Drosophila melanogaster: one gene and its partner. The gene in region 2 interacts genetically with the main gene of each other region. Each region holds a gene or a part of one and is shown on either strand. Other genes may lie near its edges.

Region 1 (9,934 bases), 6.9 Mb from region 2:
GGCCAAATATCCGGAGTACGCCCGGGCCAAGCCTCTGAAAGTACGTGTTCACGCGGGAGACATCCTATACCTGCCCAACTACTGGTTCCACCATGTGTCCCAAAGCCACAAGTGCATCGCCGTGAACTTCTGGTACGATCTGGACTACGATAGCCGGTACTGCTACTACCGCATGCTGGAGCAGATGACGTCCGCAAGGAGTGGCTAATAGAATCCGGAGAAGTATTTATTCTCAGGGATTGTTAGGTGAATTCAAAACCCTTCTTGTTTTCAGTGTATTTATATATATTATTGTTACATAATTTAGTGTTAAATAAAAAACTGATACCCAAAATGAGTTGCGAACTACGACTAAGGACACGACCATAAAAGATTTATCTTTTCCGAAATTCGTAAATGAAATATGAAATATCCGTACAGATGATGACTTCTTAAATAAGGAATGTTTGCTTTGTTGGGTTATTCTCTAGTCTATTCGAGACTGACGTCCTGTTTTTCTGCGCCGGAAGGCTCCGCTGCAGCCTGTCCATCTGCCTCCTCGTCGGGATTTTCGTTGTTCTCGCACTCCAGTTCGCCATTTCCCGCGGAGGAGACGTTCTTTTGGTCCGCCTCGGCCAAGTCTGCATCGTTATTCGAGTCCTGCGACTGGGATTGGGACTGTTTGCGCACACGCTGGTTCTTCAGCTTGGCCGGACTGGCTCCAGAAGGTGTCACCTTCGACTTGGTCTTGCAGCTATCCTGCGGCTGTTCCACCACAAACAGCTGCTCCAAATAAGAACGGTACCAAAGCAGGAACTCGTCCCGCTGTCGTGGTATGTCCATCTTCTTGATCTTGGCATATATGCGTTTGGGCGAAATTAGTGGCGAGCTGGCGGTCGAATTCTGGGCAGCAGTGGCCGTCAGCTTTGATACCTCTGCCAGTAGGGAGTCATTGATGACGGTGTTGTTGTGCGTCTGATTGCGAATGCGTTTGATAATGTACTCGATTAGTTCGTGATCCGGTGCCAGTTCTATGCTGGTCCCTGGTCCTGATCCCGAGCCAGAGGCTTGTTCTAGTTTTCCCTCGAGGATTTGCTGGTAAGGAAGACGCAATTATGAGTTAATCGATCCAGTTTACGAAAGCCTTTCTTACCTCTTCGTTCTCGGTCCTAAGAGAAGAGATAACAGCAGAAGCACTGTCCTCCATTTCATCCAGGTGCTGCCCGTTCTGTGGATTGGACAAACTTAGCTGCTTCACTGGCGTTCCTTTTTCGTCCTCGGGCCGATCGTTGTCTAGCTGCAGACGCATTACCTCTAGCGGGGTTTCACTGCGACTCTCGGTGGCCTCGGCGTCGCCAGTAGGTTCGTTCTCCTCCTGGTTAAGAGCCTTTCGCAAGCCGTGTGGTTCATGTGAGTGCTGCAGCTGCTGATTTTGTTGCTGTTGTTGTTGCTGCTGCTGCTGCTGCTGCTCGAAGAGTGTCTCCAGCCGGCGGTAGACATCCTCCTTGATTGATTCATAAAACTTTGTGGTGAACTTGTCGTTCTTCAGAGCGTTAACCAGCAGATTTCGATTCAGTTCCTCGGAGGCCGTTTCCTCGGTTTGCTCCATGGCATTTGATTCGTCCGCGGGCGATGCTTCTTGTCCGAGCGTAGGAGTAGTGTCCACTGGAGTAATCTGGGGTAGCTCGATGTAGTCCATGTAGTGAGCTGGAAGTTCGAAGTCGAAACGAAGATGTCGCTGCTGCAGAGGAGTAAGCGACACAGTCGAAGTGGTGGGCTTTGCTGGTACCTTGTTCCGCTGATACAGCGGACTGTTGCCATAGTTTACGTTCATGTTGAGATTGGAGGAGCTAGCCTGCTCGGACTCATCATCCCGCAGCGTGGAAAGCTGAGGACGGCGACGATTGCGACGTCGACCCGAGCCGAATATGACGTTATCATGGTTCTCCTCCACCTCGTCCACATCCTCATCGTCGTGGTCGCGAATGTGGCCTGCATCATCGCGCCAGTCCCTTTTTCTGCCCGAACTGCCGCTGTTGTTGAGATTATTGCTGCCATTGGAGCTGCTGCCATGCAAAGCGGTTAGTGGCGCCTCGAAAAAGTGACGACGCTGCTGCTGGTGGGTCAAACCACCACGCGTAGTAGGCGGAAGCAACTGGGGCGGCTGAAAGTAGCTGGGACGTGCCCGTTGTCGCCGATACTGCTGGAGGTCCACGTTCAGCTCCTCGTTGCTTTTATTTGATAAGAGATTTTGGCGCGAATGGCTGGAAGAGCGTACAGATATTAATGGGTTAATGCAAGCGGGTAGCAAAGAATCATGCAGTTGATAAACTAGCTAAATCTAGTGAGCGTTACTAAGTTAAGTTTTTCTATTCCATATATCCTTTTTAAATTGAATACACATCTTTTATAAATTAGCTTTGTTTACTGCCGAATAGGCACTTGCAAAACTTGGTCAGTACTTGGAGTTAGTCTTGGTTAGTCACTTTCAACTCTGTTAATGGGACACTTATCTGCAACGCGTGGTCGCACTTACCGGTGCACAGAATTGAAAATTAACTCTTCACAATAGTTTTATTTAATTTTTATTGCTTTTGACCCTTTTCCATCAAACAACCATTAATAAATCCAACACCAAAGTTATAAAGCATTACCTGCGGAAGTTGTCCCAGTAGTTGTTGGCTCTGTTTCCGGGTGGTACTTGATTGTTCAATGTAATACCGCCACCAGGTGCTCCTCCACCAGCTGCTCCCTCGGGCAGCGAGTGCAGATTGTTGGCATGCTGGTTCTGGGTTCGCAGATTCGAGTTGTTCTGATGTATCGTGTTGTTATGGTGGTTCATGAAGATGGGACCTGGACTTGAGCGGTAAGTAGGCGGCGACAGGGGTGTCTCGTTGTTGAAGTGCGTCGGCGGTGGCGGGGGAGCAGCATTGTTAAGGAACGGCTGCGCCTGATGCTGCTGCTGTTGATGATGATGCGATTCTGCCCCGCTACGATGACAGCTGCGCTGATAGTTACTAAAGGCGCTCTGGTGGGCACCAAAGTTAAATAGCTGCTCAGATTGAGCTCGACTGCTGCCCAGGCACAGATTGTTGGGCATCTGACCCATTCCAGGGCCCACCGGAGGCGGTACTGATTCCGAGCGCAAGCCGAAGCTGTGATCCTGGCATGCTACAACATTAAATCGATCCTGGAGCTGTGAAAAAACACTTGAATTAGTCTTTGATTAGGCTCTCTAATCTCATGGATTGTCTTACCGCATGTAGCTGGTGGTTGAGGTTGTCGATTTCGCGCTGTTGATGCCACAGTGCCTGGTTGCACTGGCACACAGAGTTGATAAGCATTTGCTGCGTCTGCATGAACTGCTGCAGCAGAACTGCGTCGGTAGAGGCATTCGATCCGGATCCATTTGAGGAGCCCCCTTGTTGGGCGGCTGGCAGCTTTTTAAACTCTGTGCCGGCACTGGAGCTCGGCTGACCGTAGACGGGCTGCTGTCCATGCCACGAACTTCCAGAGTTGTGTGATGCTGCTAGCGGATGCATAAAAATAAGCGTAAAACGAGGAAACTAATACATGAATTCAAGTTGGTAAAGTAAAGTTGGTAAATTTCCGCCTTTGTTGGTGGAATTAAAAACGTACCCCACATTCCAGGCACTGGTTGCATGGGGGGCGGCATGTACTGCGATCTATTGCTGCTGGATGGTATGCTGTCATTACCCAGGGATAGCGTATCAAGTGTCACATTCAGGTCATCTTCGTTTAGCGTCGACGGAGGAGCAGGCGGCGGTGGTGGTGGTGCCTGCTGTGGGGGAACGTTAGGTTGCTGACCTCGTCGTTGCTCCACCACTGTGTTGGCGGATGGAGCCCTCTTTAGGGTCGCTGAGGAAGCGGTACGTACGTTGGCGAAGTACTTATCGCTGTCAGTGTCGTCGTTTGCCTCGTCATCCGCCTCCGATGTGGTGTTGTTACTGGCTACGTAACGCTGCTCCAGTTCCCGCTGCTTCTGCTCGTATTCCGTTCGCAGGCGCTCGCACTGCGAGCGCAGTTCATCGCGCAGTTGTTCCTTGGTGGGCGTAGCCTGAAGAGAATTATCCACTTCGGATGGATCCTCTTCCTCGGTCATCCGCTGTCTCATGGGGGTGGGTGTTGGGGTAAGACTGCTTCTTTTAAGTGCATCATCGCCCATTTGAACAGCGGCGGCCGCCTGTTGTTTGCGTCGCTCAATCTCTGCCTTCAGGGCTAGGATACGGTCACGCTCCTTTTGCAAGCTTGCTGCTTCCGCTCTCAGTTCGCTCGTAACATCGTTCAGAGCGAATACGCGCTGGGCAATCTCGGCCGGCAATTCGCGCTCCACGCTAGTTCTTTCCTCACTACGCCGCTCTAAGGTGGAGCCCATGCTGGGAGTACTTTCTTCAATCTGGCTAACAGTGTACAGCATTCCCTTTAGTCTCGCCATCTGAGCCTTGAGTGCTTCTATATCTGCCGTCTTCTGGTTGATCATTGCCTGTGCGTGAAGTGCCCGTTGAGCAGCGTTGGCCGCCTCCTGGCGTATGATGGGTACGTTTCTCTGATACTCCACAGGAACAACACGCTCCTTGGGAGCCGCTGGGGCAGCCTCCTCTGGCTTGGGAGGAGGCGTGGGAGTCTCCTCTTTCTCTTTGATGACTCTAGCAGTCTCCCTGGCCGCACGGTTGATGCTGTTTAGTTCGTCCACCAGATTGCGCATATCCTCACGTTGGGTGCGCAGTGATTCCAGTTTCTCCTGCAGGGCTTCCTGCTCGGCCAGGATCTCGGGCCCATCATCGCCAAGCACCGTGCTCAGTTCGTTCTGGTTGTGTATAAAGGCGGTGAGATTCTTCATGCGCCCCACCAGCGACGCCATGTCGTCCTGTACCTGCTGCACGGACTCGTATTTGGGGGCCTCTCCCCCATTGACATTGTGGGGTAAGCTATCGGCTTGCTGGCGCAGCCGCTCCATCTCGTTAAGGTGAGTCTTGGCCAAATTTTGGATTTGTAACAGCTTCGCCTGTTCGTCGTGCAGGTGCTGCATGTTCCTATTGGAGGCTTCCAAGCGCTGCTGCAACTCATCGAAGCTGGGCGTGGTATCGGGCGTGGGCGTTTCCAAGACGCTGTGTAGGGACTGAATGGATTGGGCGCGGTTGTCGCTCATCTGAAAGGTACAAATGGTTTGAGTACTAGAAGGCAGACTTTTGGTTTTATTAACCAACTAACCTCGCTTAATGCAACATCCTCCAAGCTGGTCGAATTGACTACGCCTTCACCCTGATCCGAATTTGGGTTGATTTCGTGCACCATGTTGTTCGTCTGGGGCAAGAATTAAAGGATTTAGTTTCATTTATTATTACGATATAAAAAATGTTATTATCAATCTTATAAATGTTATAAATGTACGGCTCACTTGAAGTTCCTGACACAAGCTTTCAAACTCACCTCTACAACTTTCCTACTCGGTTGATATCTGCTATTCAGGTTCTCGTCTAATCCTAGCAGGGCGCGTAACACGTCAACCTGCGAGCGAAAACCTTCGGTTCTGGGAGCAAAATGGTGTACACCAAGAAGTCGGTGAACGAGTTGTTGCAGTCCAGCGGGGGTCAGTGGCGGTGCCTGCTCCTCGTTGCCACTCAAATTGCCGTTTCCGTTGCTGGTAGTTGCGTTCGGTATGACCACACCTACTGTGGCATTCGGAGGCGTCGATTGACGCAAACGCAGCAAAGCCGTCGAAGATGAGGGGGCGCCTGTGCTATTAGCTGACGAGGATGGCTGGTGCTGAACCCTCTGGACAGGACGGACGGGGAATCGATAGCGCTGCTGCTGTTCCTGCAGTTGCTCTGTAATGGAAAATAGCCAAAGATCAGTATGGATGTTTAGGTCCATTGCTAAATACTGCGCTGCGAACTACATCATCTCAGTGGGCGTTTATTTTCGTGCGCATCTTATTTATAGAACATGAACTGGCGCACCGATCTCTGTGTGGGCCAGGCCGATCACTTTGCCAGGTGCGGATATTGGAAATTGCTCAATTAAATGTGTATATTCCTCAACGGTTTCAGGACCCATTACCTGCTGTATCGTAGTTGCCGTGTTCGGCGGCCAACTGACGCAGTGCCTCGCGCTGCTGTTGCTGTTGTGCAGGCGACCTGTGATCCTTGCTAGACAGATGCTGCTCCGCCGGCGATCGATTCTTGGCGTTGGTGATGCGTGCTCGCTGGAGGAGATCCTTTAAGCAACAGTAAATGAAGATTAGCAGGAAAACCAGCACGAGGATTGCGGTAATTTTGCTGATTTTAGGTCTATATATATATATCTATTTCAGATATATATATATATATGTATAAGGGCGCTGCTCTGGCCGATCGAAATTCGTTGTCCGCAGTGGTTGAGTTCGCATTCGCTACTGAGCCAGCGGCTAACGAATTTCCGCAGGTCGCGATGAGTGTAAAGTGTATTTATAAAACCAAGAAGAGAAAGGTCTTGGTGTCTTCTCTTCGAGAAGATTTGCCATGGCAACCAGACGTCCGTCTAACTTACATTCAGAGTTTTCAGCGTCTCCCGCTGCAGCGTCTCTGGCTCGACAAGTTCCATGTCCGGTTCGCCCAGGTGCTCCTGCTGCCGGCGAGAGCGGGCCGACCGGCTGGATGTCACAGATGCACTCGACCCGGACGTGGGTGCTCCGTTTACAGGCGTTTGTTGTTTAGGCACCGCACCGGTTGCCCCGCCCACCGAGTTGTTGTTGCTGCTGCCATTGCTGCGGGCGCTGGCGTTGGCTTGGTCCACAACTACCTTGGGCGGCGGCGCCATTAGAAAATATATATATATATATTTGCGTACAAAAAACGACGCTACAAAATTGAAAAAACTCCTCTTTTTTGTACTCCCACTTTGTTTTTTTGCTTTGCGCACTCTGACAGCTGTTCCCAACCAGGGCTGGAAGCTAGTTAACAAGCCTACCAAGTTATGGTCACACTGGCAGCGGACGTTTTTTGAAATCGAATGTTTTCTAAAATTCAAAAATAAATATTATTTTTAGTTTAAAATAAAATGTATATCTGTAAAAAGTATTTTAAATGCTTTTGGTGTAGATAAACTAACGTTACTTGGTAATTTGATATCTTTTAAGGATAATTATTTATTTGGAGATTACTTTATAATATGTTCCTTGGATAATAAACATTATATGACTAGAGCCATTTTCCCTTTCAAGTTTGGACGTGCCTACTTTCCCTGCTTGCGCTGGATGATGTCCTCCTTGAGCGCACGAATCCGATCCCTCTCCGCCCGGAGTCCCACCGCTTGACCGCGTAGATCACTGGTGAAGTCCGTGAACATGTTAAGCATGGAATTCAGGAGCTCGGCGTTATCGGGAGCACTCGACGAGGTCGATGGATTCTCTTCTTGGGCACTCTCTACGGCCTCGCTGGCCACTCGGACTTCTGACGAGGTGGTCTGCCTGCTGGTCTGAACGGAGGTGGAGCTCTGGACCTGTACCGTTTGCCTGGAGGACATGTGCTCCTCGATCATCTTGGTGGTGTCCACCATGTTCTGCACGCGCTTAAACTGCGCCTTCAGGTTGGCGATCTCGTTTAGCTTCTCCTGCAGATAACTGGCCTGCTCCTCTTTGTCCTCCCCGCCCTCTTCCTCACCAGATGGTGCCTCTTCCCGGTTTGTGAACTCTCCAGAAGCACTGGCGGATGAAGCAACTGTTACTGTCTCCGATGAGGATTCAACGTGGGACTGAACCTCCTCCTCCTCGGTGGACTGCCGCACTTGTCGGCGCTGGGCATTCAGAAGGGTCAGCTCAGCGGCTCGTAAGCGCAGTGTCTCCATCTCCTCAAGCAACTGGCGGTGCTCCTCCTGCATCTCTTGCAGCTGTCTGTTGGAAGCAGCTAGGCGCTTAAAAAATACAAATAATTAGTTTTGAAAGCTTCAATAATGAAAAAATTGGTTTAAAAACATCATAGTTCAAAGACTACATTAGGGCATCAAAAGAAAAATGATTTTGTATATTATTATTAAAAAACTCTATTTTTTAGCTCACTGGTATAGAAAAAGCTTCGTACTTAAATTTCATTTCAACTGAAACATCTAGAGACTGTAGGCTTATTGGTGTGACTCATTCATTTTGTTGTCTAAAAAGAATGTGTCACGGTATTTATTTAACTTTACTGACTGTGTTTTCTTATTGTTTTAAAACACTTAAATACTAAGAGTTTTGCAATTTCCCGAAGACTCCAGCTTACCTCGCTCAAGGCGGCATTGTCCCCATTTTGAGGCCTATTCAGTTCGTTGACCATTTTCTGGGTTCCTGAGGAGAAGAGGGAATACTTGGTGTTATGTATATCGTGCACGTTGATTATTTTCTCAATACAAACAAAGGCCCATCGCAAGGCACTGTCTATAAATAAATGGCTCTTTGTTAAATTATTTTTCAGTTAGAATAGTGTCAGTCATCTTGGCATTTTTGAAGACAAAACTAACAAGTGCACTTATGAAAATGTACACCACAATACACCACATATATTATACTTGAAAATGCTACCTTTTAATCGTATATTCGAATCCTCCGAGCGATGAGCTGTGCGCACAAAGAGATGCCCAAATTTCAACTGAAACGATGTGCCGAAAACGAAAATATTTTGAATCGTTTTCGTGTTCGTGTAGAGTTTTTAGAAACAGCCGACAAGCTTTTCCACATTAATATGAAAGTCTACAAAGGAAACTTTTTTTATGTTTAGAAAAGGAAGGTAACAATTAAATTGAAAACATGCTTAAAACATTTTTTCGTTGTAATTGTAACAGAAGCATTTTCAAAAAAAAATTTAAATTAATTCATAAAAATATAGTTATAAATATAAACCCCTGTGTTAAAGTAAATGTACATCAATTGCATGATGATTTAGGTGAACCTGCTGTGAATATGGTGATCCAAATTTAGACTTCCAAGAGTCATCGCCTTTCCCACCAATTCATTTGCCAGTTGTTTGCAATGTTTACATCGATATAGTGATAAGATAATCTGAGGCTTGAACCTTATAAAGGTACATTTTCACAAGGGAAGAGATTCAGTTGAATAAAAATCTGACAATGAGTGGAGGTGTGCGGTTCAGAAGTTGGAATACAAAACTATTATAATTTTTCTGTTTTGCAGAAGTAATATGGTACTTTATCTGCATATTTTGCGGTGTTTTTGGAGCAAGACCCAAAGACTTGGACGTTTCTGGAACAACAGATAGCACCCTAGAAACGGATTCAACTACTTCCGGTCTGGAATATGGTCTAATTACGGGCAACTTGAGTATCTGCGGAAATGTGGCAGATAATGTGTTTCTACCATTTGTGGGGGACTGTAATAGGTACTACCTTTGTCGCTGTGAGTTTGGAGCTTAAGATCTTTATATTTTGGAATCTTTATCATAATATGTTTATTTATAATATTTAGCTGGACAAGCCATAGAACTGCAATGCGAATGGCCTTATGAGTTCAATGCAAATACCCAAAGCTGTGTACATCCTGGTGACGCTGATTGTCTGCCCACCTGCGAGGCTTTCAATTTCAGCACCTTCAGTTACCAGAGAACCTGTACGAGGTACGTGCTGTGCTACTACGGAAAACCCGTTCTACGGCAATGCCAGGATGGCCTTCAATACAACTCTGCCACAGATCGCTGTGATTTCCCCCAAAATGTCGATTGCGTGGAGTCCGAGTGCTCCATCTACTCCAATGCGTATCATTTGCGCTATGTTCCCAGCAAGGTTTCCTGCCAGAAGTACTTCATCTGCGGCAACGGAATTCCCAGGGAGCAAACCTGCACTGCTGGCCTCCACTTTAGTACCAAATGCGATTGCTGCGATATTCCATCTAAGTCGGACTGTCAGGTGGGTTAAGAACAACAGTACACTCCTAAGGGAAATAGTTGCATAACCCTTTTATTTTTTA
Region 2 (7,654 bases):
ACCAAGAAATCAGATATAACTAATACGCGGTAGATCCACACCAAATACTGATGTACCTTTAAAGCTGAATATCGGACTACTGACAGTGGCCAATTTAGGTGCTTTGATAAGTTCCGTAACGTTCTCCAACTTCCAATAGTAAGTGAACAACTTTACATCCTGATCGGCCAGTACAGTATTATTGAACTTATCGACTTCATTTTCACGAGCTCCAAGATTTGCGTTCGAATCCAAGTTTTTCAGAGTAGGAGTCTTCTTAAGTCCGAAGTCTGGAGCAACTTCGTTCTCTTCGGCTTTCGAATTGGTGGAATTGGAAAGCTTCTTGGGAGGATCAATTGGCTTGAAGATTGGCGGCACCGCAGCGCTAGTGATTGGCCTCATAGTCGGAGGTGGAGTGGTCACAGATGGGGAAAAGGCTGTATTGAGCTTAAGTCCATTCGCCTTGGCTAAGTGCACCAAAATCAGTTTCATTACACGAAGCTCTTCGTAGAGCTTGTTCTCCAGACTTCGGAAGGCCATGTTCATTTCATCTGCACACAAAGCATAAATAGTTTCAAGATCAAACGGGCAAGAGACCACTGACCACCCACCTGATCCACACACTCCCTTAAGGGTTTTTGTGGTGACAGCCTCGGCAGATGCCTTCACCTCCCCCGCAGTCACAGTGCAAACAGCTTTCTGCACTTCGCTGGGCAGTTTTGGAGCAGCTTCTGTATCCAAGGGATTCCCGGTGACGTTGAACAGTCCACTGCCCGATTCCTCCTCCGTCGCCATCGCCGTGGAGCAGAGAACAAGACACAGCATCCACGTAGCTGTCATCATATCCATCCACCAAGAATCCTCTTCTGTTGAAACACCCAAACACAACTGTCGACGAATCTTGGGAAATTGGCAATTTGGGGAGCACCACCTTGAGCCACTCGTTCACGTGGATTTATTGGTCGGCGTGTCTTTTGACTTCTGGTGCGTGGAACTACTTTTAGAATGGGACCCTCCCACCAAACTCTAAAAATAGTGTACACTTTTGATGGCTTCTCTAGTACGAACTATGAATGAATGAAACACATTCGCACGATGTTTGTGTTCCTCTTGAAATACCTTCATACATACATATTTATTCGCTGCGTTTCAGAGGAAATGTACATATTTTTCAATTTCTTAGAGTTTTGGCAAGCTTGCGCTTTTCGAATTTTGAAAATACAAAATTGCACTTCCCCTAAATCAAATGCTTTCGTAATAGAATTGCTGAAAATGATTAATTATGCATTCTTAAATATAATTTTAAAAAATTGTTTGAATGCCTATATAAAAGTAATTTGTTTAGTTAAAACCACATTTTAAATATTTGTGTTTATATTATAGCAAGAATTCTACGCATAGCCAGTATCTAAGTTGGTAGTATCCTTCCAAGATGTCATCCCATTGAGAAGAAGGACAACCGGAAGGCCATTTCGACTATGTTCTGGGGAACATCGGACCGGTGACACACGTACACTTCCTTGGCTGGCGACTGAAAGAGACGACCAACCACCACGAAGCGACTGCTCGTCGAGGATTGGGATTGCCCGTCCGACTTGGGTTGCGTGCTGACCTCCAGGATCATGCCGTGCTCCTTGACCAGCGACACTGTGTGGCTACTGTGCCCGTTCGAGTTCGTCTGTGCTCTCGAGGATTCCGATAGATGCCTGCGATAGTGCTTGGATTTCTGCAGCACGGCGTGGATTATGTGACACGCCTGACGAATCTCGGAGAGGTAGTTGGAGTTCTCGGAGCTGTCGGTAAATGGCGCAAACAAGGACCCATTGGCTATGTCAATGTAGACGTAGTGCAGAACGGAATTCTTCCAGCCAGCGGATATCTTGACCGGCACCACGTTGTTGATCTCCTTCCACATGGACTCTGTCATTTGGCTCTGACTGTGGCTCTCGGCCCCGAGATTCAGTCCATAGTGAAGTGGATGCTGTACGGCGAAGTTCTCCCAGTCGGAACCGCTGTCTGAGTCCTCGGCAGTACCATGGATGGGGGTCAATCGCCTGCGACAGGACTCGTCCTCACTGGGAGTCAGACTATGTATGGAAGACCCACCCAGGGACGAGCACAGTTGGGCTTCCTCCTCCACCGAAGGACTCAGCACGGTTAGCTTCTGCTTGAGGAAGGACTCCAGTCGGTTGTTCGGCTCCTTCTCCTGATCTCTACTCTCGCTGGCAGTGGCGTCCAGCACCTCGGGTCTCTTATTGGAAACGGACCAGAACATGGCCAGGGATTCAATGCCGCACTGTACTAGGTGGTCCAGCGTCTCTTGAATCTCCTCGATGTAAAAGAGCGATGGACCCACCACCGCATCCGGCGCCATGTCTGGAGCATCGAAGATCTTCAAGATCACGGCCAGACTCAAGTGGTTCTTGGTGCAGATGGTAAGGAAATATCGCCCTGTGGCACTGGGCAACACTATCTCCTCCCACACGTACATCTCGCGAACTTTGATTCCCGGAGCAGCTCCGAGCAACTCGAAGATTCCGCGGCAGCGCAGGAATCCTTCTACACTCACCCTCACTTCCGGTGGCAGCAGGCTGGCCACCAGGAAGCCATCGTAGTACAGCGCACTGCCGTAGATGAAGAACTCGCGATGGGTGGTGAGTGGCTCGTCGTTCCAGTTGCGATAGTCCATGGCCTCCATTTCACTCAGAGCATCAAAGATGCGCAGCTGCGCTTCCTTTGGCAGTGGCAGGCTGCGGGATTGGCCCAGGAGCTCCTCGAAACGAATATGACCATGGCATCTGGCTACGAGCCGGGTTCTCTGGATTTCGCAAAAGTGTCGAAGGAACAGCTTCAGTCTCGAACTATTCCCCGGCTCTCTCTCCTGATTAAAGCTCTCCAGGACCAAGCCCGGCAGAGAGAAGCGTATGTATCCGATTAGCTCATCCGATCGCAGGCTGCACTCCGCCGCACAGCAGAGTCCTCCGGCGTAGGCGAAGAGGACTAGGAACCCATTCAGTTGGCGGTAGTTGACGTGGTATTGCACCTGATCCACCAGCAGCCTTGAACTCAGCGGCTGGGTGTGCAGTTCACTGAGTACGGCGTGCAGGGTGAGGAAACTCCCACGGGCCTTGAATAGGAAGTTGTCGGGGATTTCCGGAAAGTAGTAGAGGGAATCCTGTTGCTGTTCATGCTGATAGCACTCCGGTGGGAGTAGCAGCATAGCAAAGGGCATTCTTATGTCCACGGAACTACCGGGAATACCGAAGTTCCCCTCCGTTATCAACATCTGCTCAAACTTCTCCGTGAACATGGGAAAGTTCTCCACCTTGCACACCTGCTCCTCGCGGACATTTCGATTATACCCCGGATCGGTGGGCGAAACTGCACTGGCCGCACCGCACGACTGGAAGCCTAGGCACACCTGAGTGGGCTCCACGAACTGCTTGAGCAACTCATCCACATTGCTGGCGTACACCTCTATGCCATTCAGGGATCTAAACCAATCTCCCCGCTTGATGCCGTGCTGCAGCGCACTCACATCGTGAACGAACCCATCGACCATCAGGCATTCTGGTTGGTCCGGAAAGGGCAGGACCCGGAAGCCCAGTATGGACTCCACCGCCGTGGATCGTCGTCCGAAACGGAAGCGATCAGCGGCTGTGATCACCAGATCCAGTTTCTTGGGATCGGGGGCAGCCGTCTTGAACTGTGAGAAGCGGAACTCTTGCGGCTCCGTCTGGCTATCCAACCTGCTCGGGCCGTGGGACTGGTTTTGGTTCTGACTCTGATTCTGATTATTGCTGTGCGGCTGGCGACGCGACGACTTCTTTCCCAGGCGCAGCGATCGACGCATGAACTCCACCCGCCGCTCTGCCGAGACGCCAGTCTTCTCACATCGCACATACTCCATGTAGAAGAGACTGCCGTCTGTGGACACGTACTCCTCCCAGTTGGCCAGGTCGCTGCCATCGCTGTACGAGTTGCTCAGCGAGGAGTTCGAACTGGAGAAGGCCTCCGACGGCAGGCTGGCCGGCGATTTGCGCATAGTTTACCGGGGATAGTTAACTGGGCGGATAGTTATTAGTGGCCTACTATTCCAGGTACACACTCAACTATCTGCCGCCGGTTGATACCGCCTCAGCTCAGCTCTGAATGTCGACTGAAAGCCGAGATCCGATCTCAGCACTCAAAACCAGTTTCTAATTGAGCTCTGGCTCCGACCAGCTCAATACCACTCCACTCAAATTCCAGCGGGAAACGATCCACTCCCTTTGTGATCTGGTTCTCTTTCAAGCTGGGGAAACTCAAAACCCACCGTGGGTTAAGACAAGTATAGTTACCATAATACAATAACCAATTTCTTTTCTTTTTATAAGTGTTCGCATTTAACGATTGGACTGCTAACCAGTTGATTTCAGCGTGATATTAAGTTATAAATAATAATCATGGAAAATCCTTATAAAAATAGAGCTCCGTCTGCGATATGCTGACTCTGCACAAAGTCGCATTGAAGATTTGGTGGAACTTAAAGCAAAATTGGTGTGCTATCATAAGGATTGTGTTAATCAGCGGAAGATTAGTAAAATGTTGCTTCCTCAATGGGTATCCGATGATCATTTGTCATAGGAGACTACCGCTGAAGTCCTATCTCCCAATAAATTATTTTACGGCCAATAAACTGTGTATGCATGATATGAAGGGAATTGATATAATTAATTGGGCATTTGTGGACCCGGGTGTTTTAGTGGCCACCTTTTCGTATCGCCGATGGTCTGATAATCTAAGATTTTCCAAGTGATTTTTTTCATATCGGTCTCCGGACTGGACGCCGTAAATCAAAACTTTTCTATCTGCAAACAATCGAGTAGTATAGAAAATTGTGTCTCACTGAACTCACTATGTGCTGGCCAAAAGCGAGCCGTGGCTATATCGGTTGATCCGGAGCACCGATCCCATTGAAGTACGGGCCTAATAGCCGTACTCCGACGTCCAGATAATTATCCGATAAGGAACATGGCGTGGGCGTGAAGCGGGACGCCCAGTGCCACCGAAAAAGCGATACGCTGATAGTCCCGGGCCATTCAAGGGAAGATATTGCCAAAATTGATAAGCCGTATCATGGCAGAATTAGCCGCACATGTGTACCGCAGCTACCTATTATTTCTGCTGACCATCGGAGCAAGCTGAGTCCTCCAGCCAGTCCATTGCGCGAATCCAAGGCGTGTGCTTCGCCCAGCCGCAAATAAAGTGATTTGCGGGAAATGTCGGCCGCGGTTAACTATCACAAAATGTGGCTTAGATTTCGGAATACCCAGTGAAACTGAATGAGTGGCTAAAAATTGTATAGAACGCGATTATCTGTGTGATTGTGAAATCAAACAGCTGTCAAATCTTATTTATAATCCCCCATTACAAGCACTATAGGTGCGCAATTCAGTGAATATGTGTCCAAAATATATATGGGATGTGATCGTATTAGTATGCCTGTTCCTTGGAAACGTAAGGGAAGCATACACCGAGTTTTCGATCCAGGATGGCTTGATAATAGAACCAGATTCAGCCACAACATCCAGCGAAGAGGCCGAAGAGGTCAGCAAGGAGAGAACGGACCTCAAATCCCTCATGTTGAAGTACGAATCGGATGATGGGAACAGTTGTCTGCTGGATCTGATCAAGGACGAGGTGATATGGTGGCAGTTTCCCAACGGAACCCTCAGGGACAGCACAAAGAAATACGGTAAACCTATCCAATAAAGTCCAATAAAAATCCCTGCCCAAGTCTCAGTTTGATTGGGCATTGTTAACAGCTCTCGAAACTATATACATATACTTTCACGCTTCCGGCAACGCGGATCGACTGCTTATAGAAGGTCTTTGATGTTAGCCTAATCCCACCAGAATCGGTAACATTATTATGGAACCCCTTATCAGTGAAAGCTCTGCATTACTACACCCAGAGAAATTTAAAAAAATACCGATATCGGTTGTGTTCAGCGTACTCAGTGGCATCAATCATGCTCATTAGAAGAAACCTTCTTGATTTCGAGACGAAAACGATCTCAATGTTGATATTTTTTGGCGGAAGCAGTATCGGGTTTAAAATTGTGGAAGAGAGAGAGAGAGAGAGAGAGGCAAATGAGACCAGTCATTTGCAATCTGAGAACGGTTCGATCTCGATATGAGCATGATTTGATCCTTGCTAGATTTTAAGATCAAAAATCTCATATCAAGATCGTTGAGAACAGTCTTTTCTCTGAGTGTAGTAGCTTGGGCTGGATTTGGCAAAGCCACTCGCAACTATATGGATCTTAGCGATAATAAATTGTATCTCTTCGAATGTTTACACCCGGCACTTTTTGAACTTAGCCTTTATCCCCATAGTATCCGATACTGTCACTTTTGAATATGGTAGATTCACTTATAATTTATAGGTTCTGATCGTACCTTTAATTACTTATTTAAAGCGCACAAATTGTATTTGGATCTATCCCACGGTAATCTTAAGGACGACTCTGACCTATTCCGAGAAGCGAAACTTTCGAGGAAGGTTACCATTTGGAGGACAGAAGTCTTCTCGGCCGCATTCAATACGTTGACTGCAGCTCCGTTCAGGACGCTCTACTCCATGAGGGAATCCTTGAAGCTTTTATCGCTGCGAGGAAATAACTTTGCTGAACTGATTCCAGATGCTGAAGGTAAGCTTGGCCGGGTTAGATCATTGACCATTTAGTCAGTTGTGGGAACCGGAAACGCAATGGCACACGTATTCTGATGTCCAGTTACCATTCGCCGTTTCAGACTTTGCTCGATTTGTAAACGAGTCCCGCTTGGAGGCTAGTAACTCGGTACCACACCATTGTGAACTACTACTTTTACACAATACCACCGATCTGTATGATCGGGAATGCTATCTATACTTTAACAACAACACAAACATGGGACAATCAATCACAACCGGTAGAAACTATACGAACTTTATTAAGGTCTTAAAAGATCGGTTCGATCAGCACGGAAGTTCATGTAAGATCTCAACGCAAACACAATTACACAGCAAAGACGTTTTCCTAAAAGTCCTCATGCCACATTTAATCACAACTTGATATCCGTCATTTCCATATTCCTGGTTTCATATCTGTTAAAAGGTTCTAACTATGTAACTTAAGGAGGAAGGGTTTAATTTTTAAATATCATGCCATAAATACTTCTAACACGTGAATTCCTTATCTGTTTCCCAGCCCAATCTATAGCCTGGGCCACTTTTCCAAAGATGCCCCGACTTGTGGAGCTGGACATCAGCAACTGCAGCATCGAGTACGTGAGCAAGGAGGCGTTCCGGAATGTCAGCAATCTGCGGAGGCTCTTCATGTCGGACAACAAGATCATGACGATAAGCCACGACACTTTCTACTACGTCCAGGGAGTGCAGTATCTCGACCTGTCCTTCACTAACTTCCTGACCTATAGCTACCAACTGCAGTTGCCCACTCTGGAAATGGCCTTAAGCCTGATATACGGCCTGAAGATCCAGCAGAACGTGTTCAAATATCTGCCGGAACTGATTTACCTGGACCTCTCCCACTCGAAAATGACCAGGAATAGTGCGGTGGCTTTTGCCCATCTGGGGGATAAGCTGAAGTTCCTCAGTCTGTGCTACACTGCCATTCCCATGGTGAGC

The links.
Region 1: of in (region 2) and cmb, changing one enhances a phenotype caused by changing the other (phenotypic enhancement), as found in Drosophila melanogaster (one study listed by BioGRID).

The regions. Positions count from the first base shown.
Region 1 is NT_037436.4:13,439,583-13,449,516, reverse strand, and holds cmb (combover), read right to left. Parts: upstream 6,924-9,934; 5' UTR 6,799-6,923; coding exon 6,529-6,798; intron 6,399-6,528; exon of another isoform or gene 6,218-6,398; coding exon 6,061-6,217; intron 5,829-6,060; coding exon 5,431-5,828; intron 5,305-5,430; coding exon 5,212-5,304; intron 5,150-5,211; coding exon 3,619-5,149; intron 3,509-3,618; coding exon of another isoform or gene 3,506-3,508; coding exon 3,237-3,505; intron 3,176-3,236; coding exon 2,634-3,175; coding exon of another isoform or gene 2,630-2,633; exon of another isoform or gene 2,556-2,629; intron 2,244-2,555; coding exon 1,133-2,243; intron 1,075-1,132; coding exon 472-1,074; 3' UTR 272-471; downstream 1-271. Other genes in the region: JMJD7 (jumonji domain containing 7), read left to right, coding at 1-208; CG14109 (uncharacterized protein), read right to left, coding at 7,213-7,890, 8,238-8,291; CG10140 (uncharacterized protein), read left to right, coding at 9,082-9,091, 9,146-9,367, 9,437-9,873.
Region 2 is NT_037436.4:20,363,686-20,371,339, reverse strand, and holds in (inturned), read right to left. Parts: upstream 4,143-7,654; 5' UTR 4,025-4,142; coding exon 1,415-4,024; 3' UTR 1,081-1,414; downstream 1-1,080. Other genes in the region: CG13247 (uncharacterized protein), read right to left, coding at 57-530, 591-828; Toll-9, read left to right, coding at 5,422-5,716, 6,444-6,674, 6,778-6,999, 7,215-7,654. UniProt on the Drosophila melanogaster protein: Plays a role in the definition of cell polarity via the planar cell polarity (PCP) cascade. Acts downstream of fuz and accumulates asymmetrically in wing cells to regulate planar polarity in the wing. Probably acts by regulating ciliogenesis.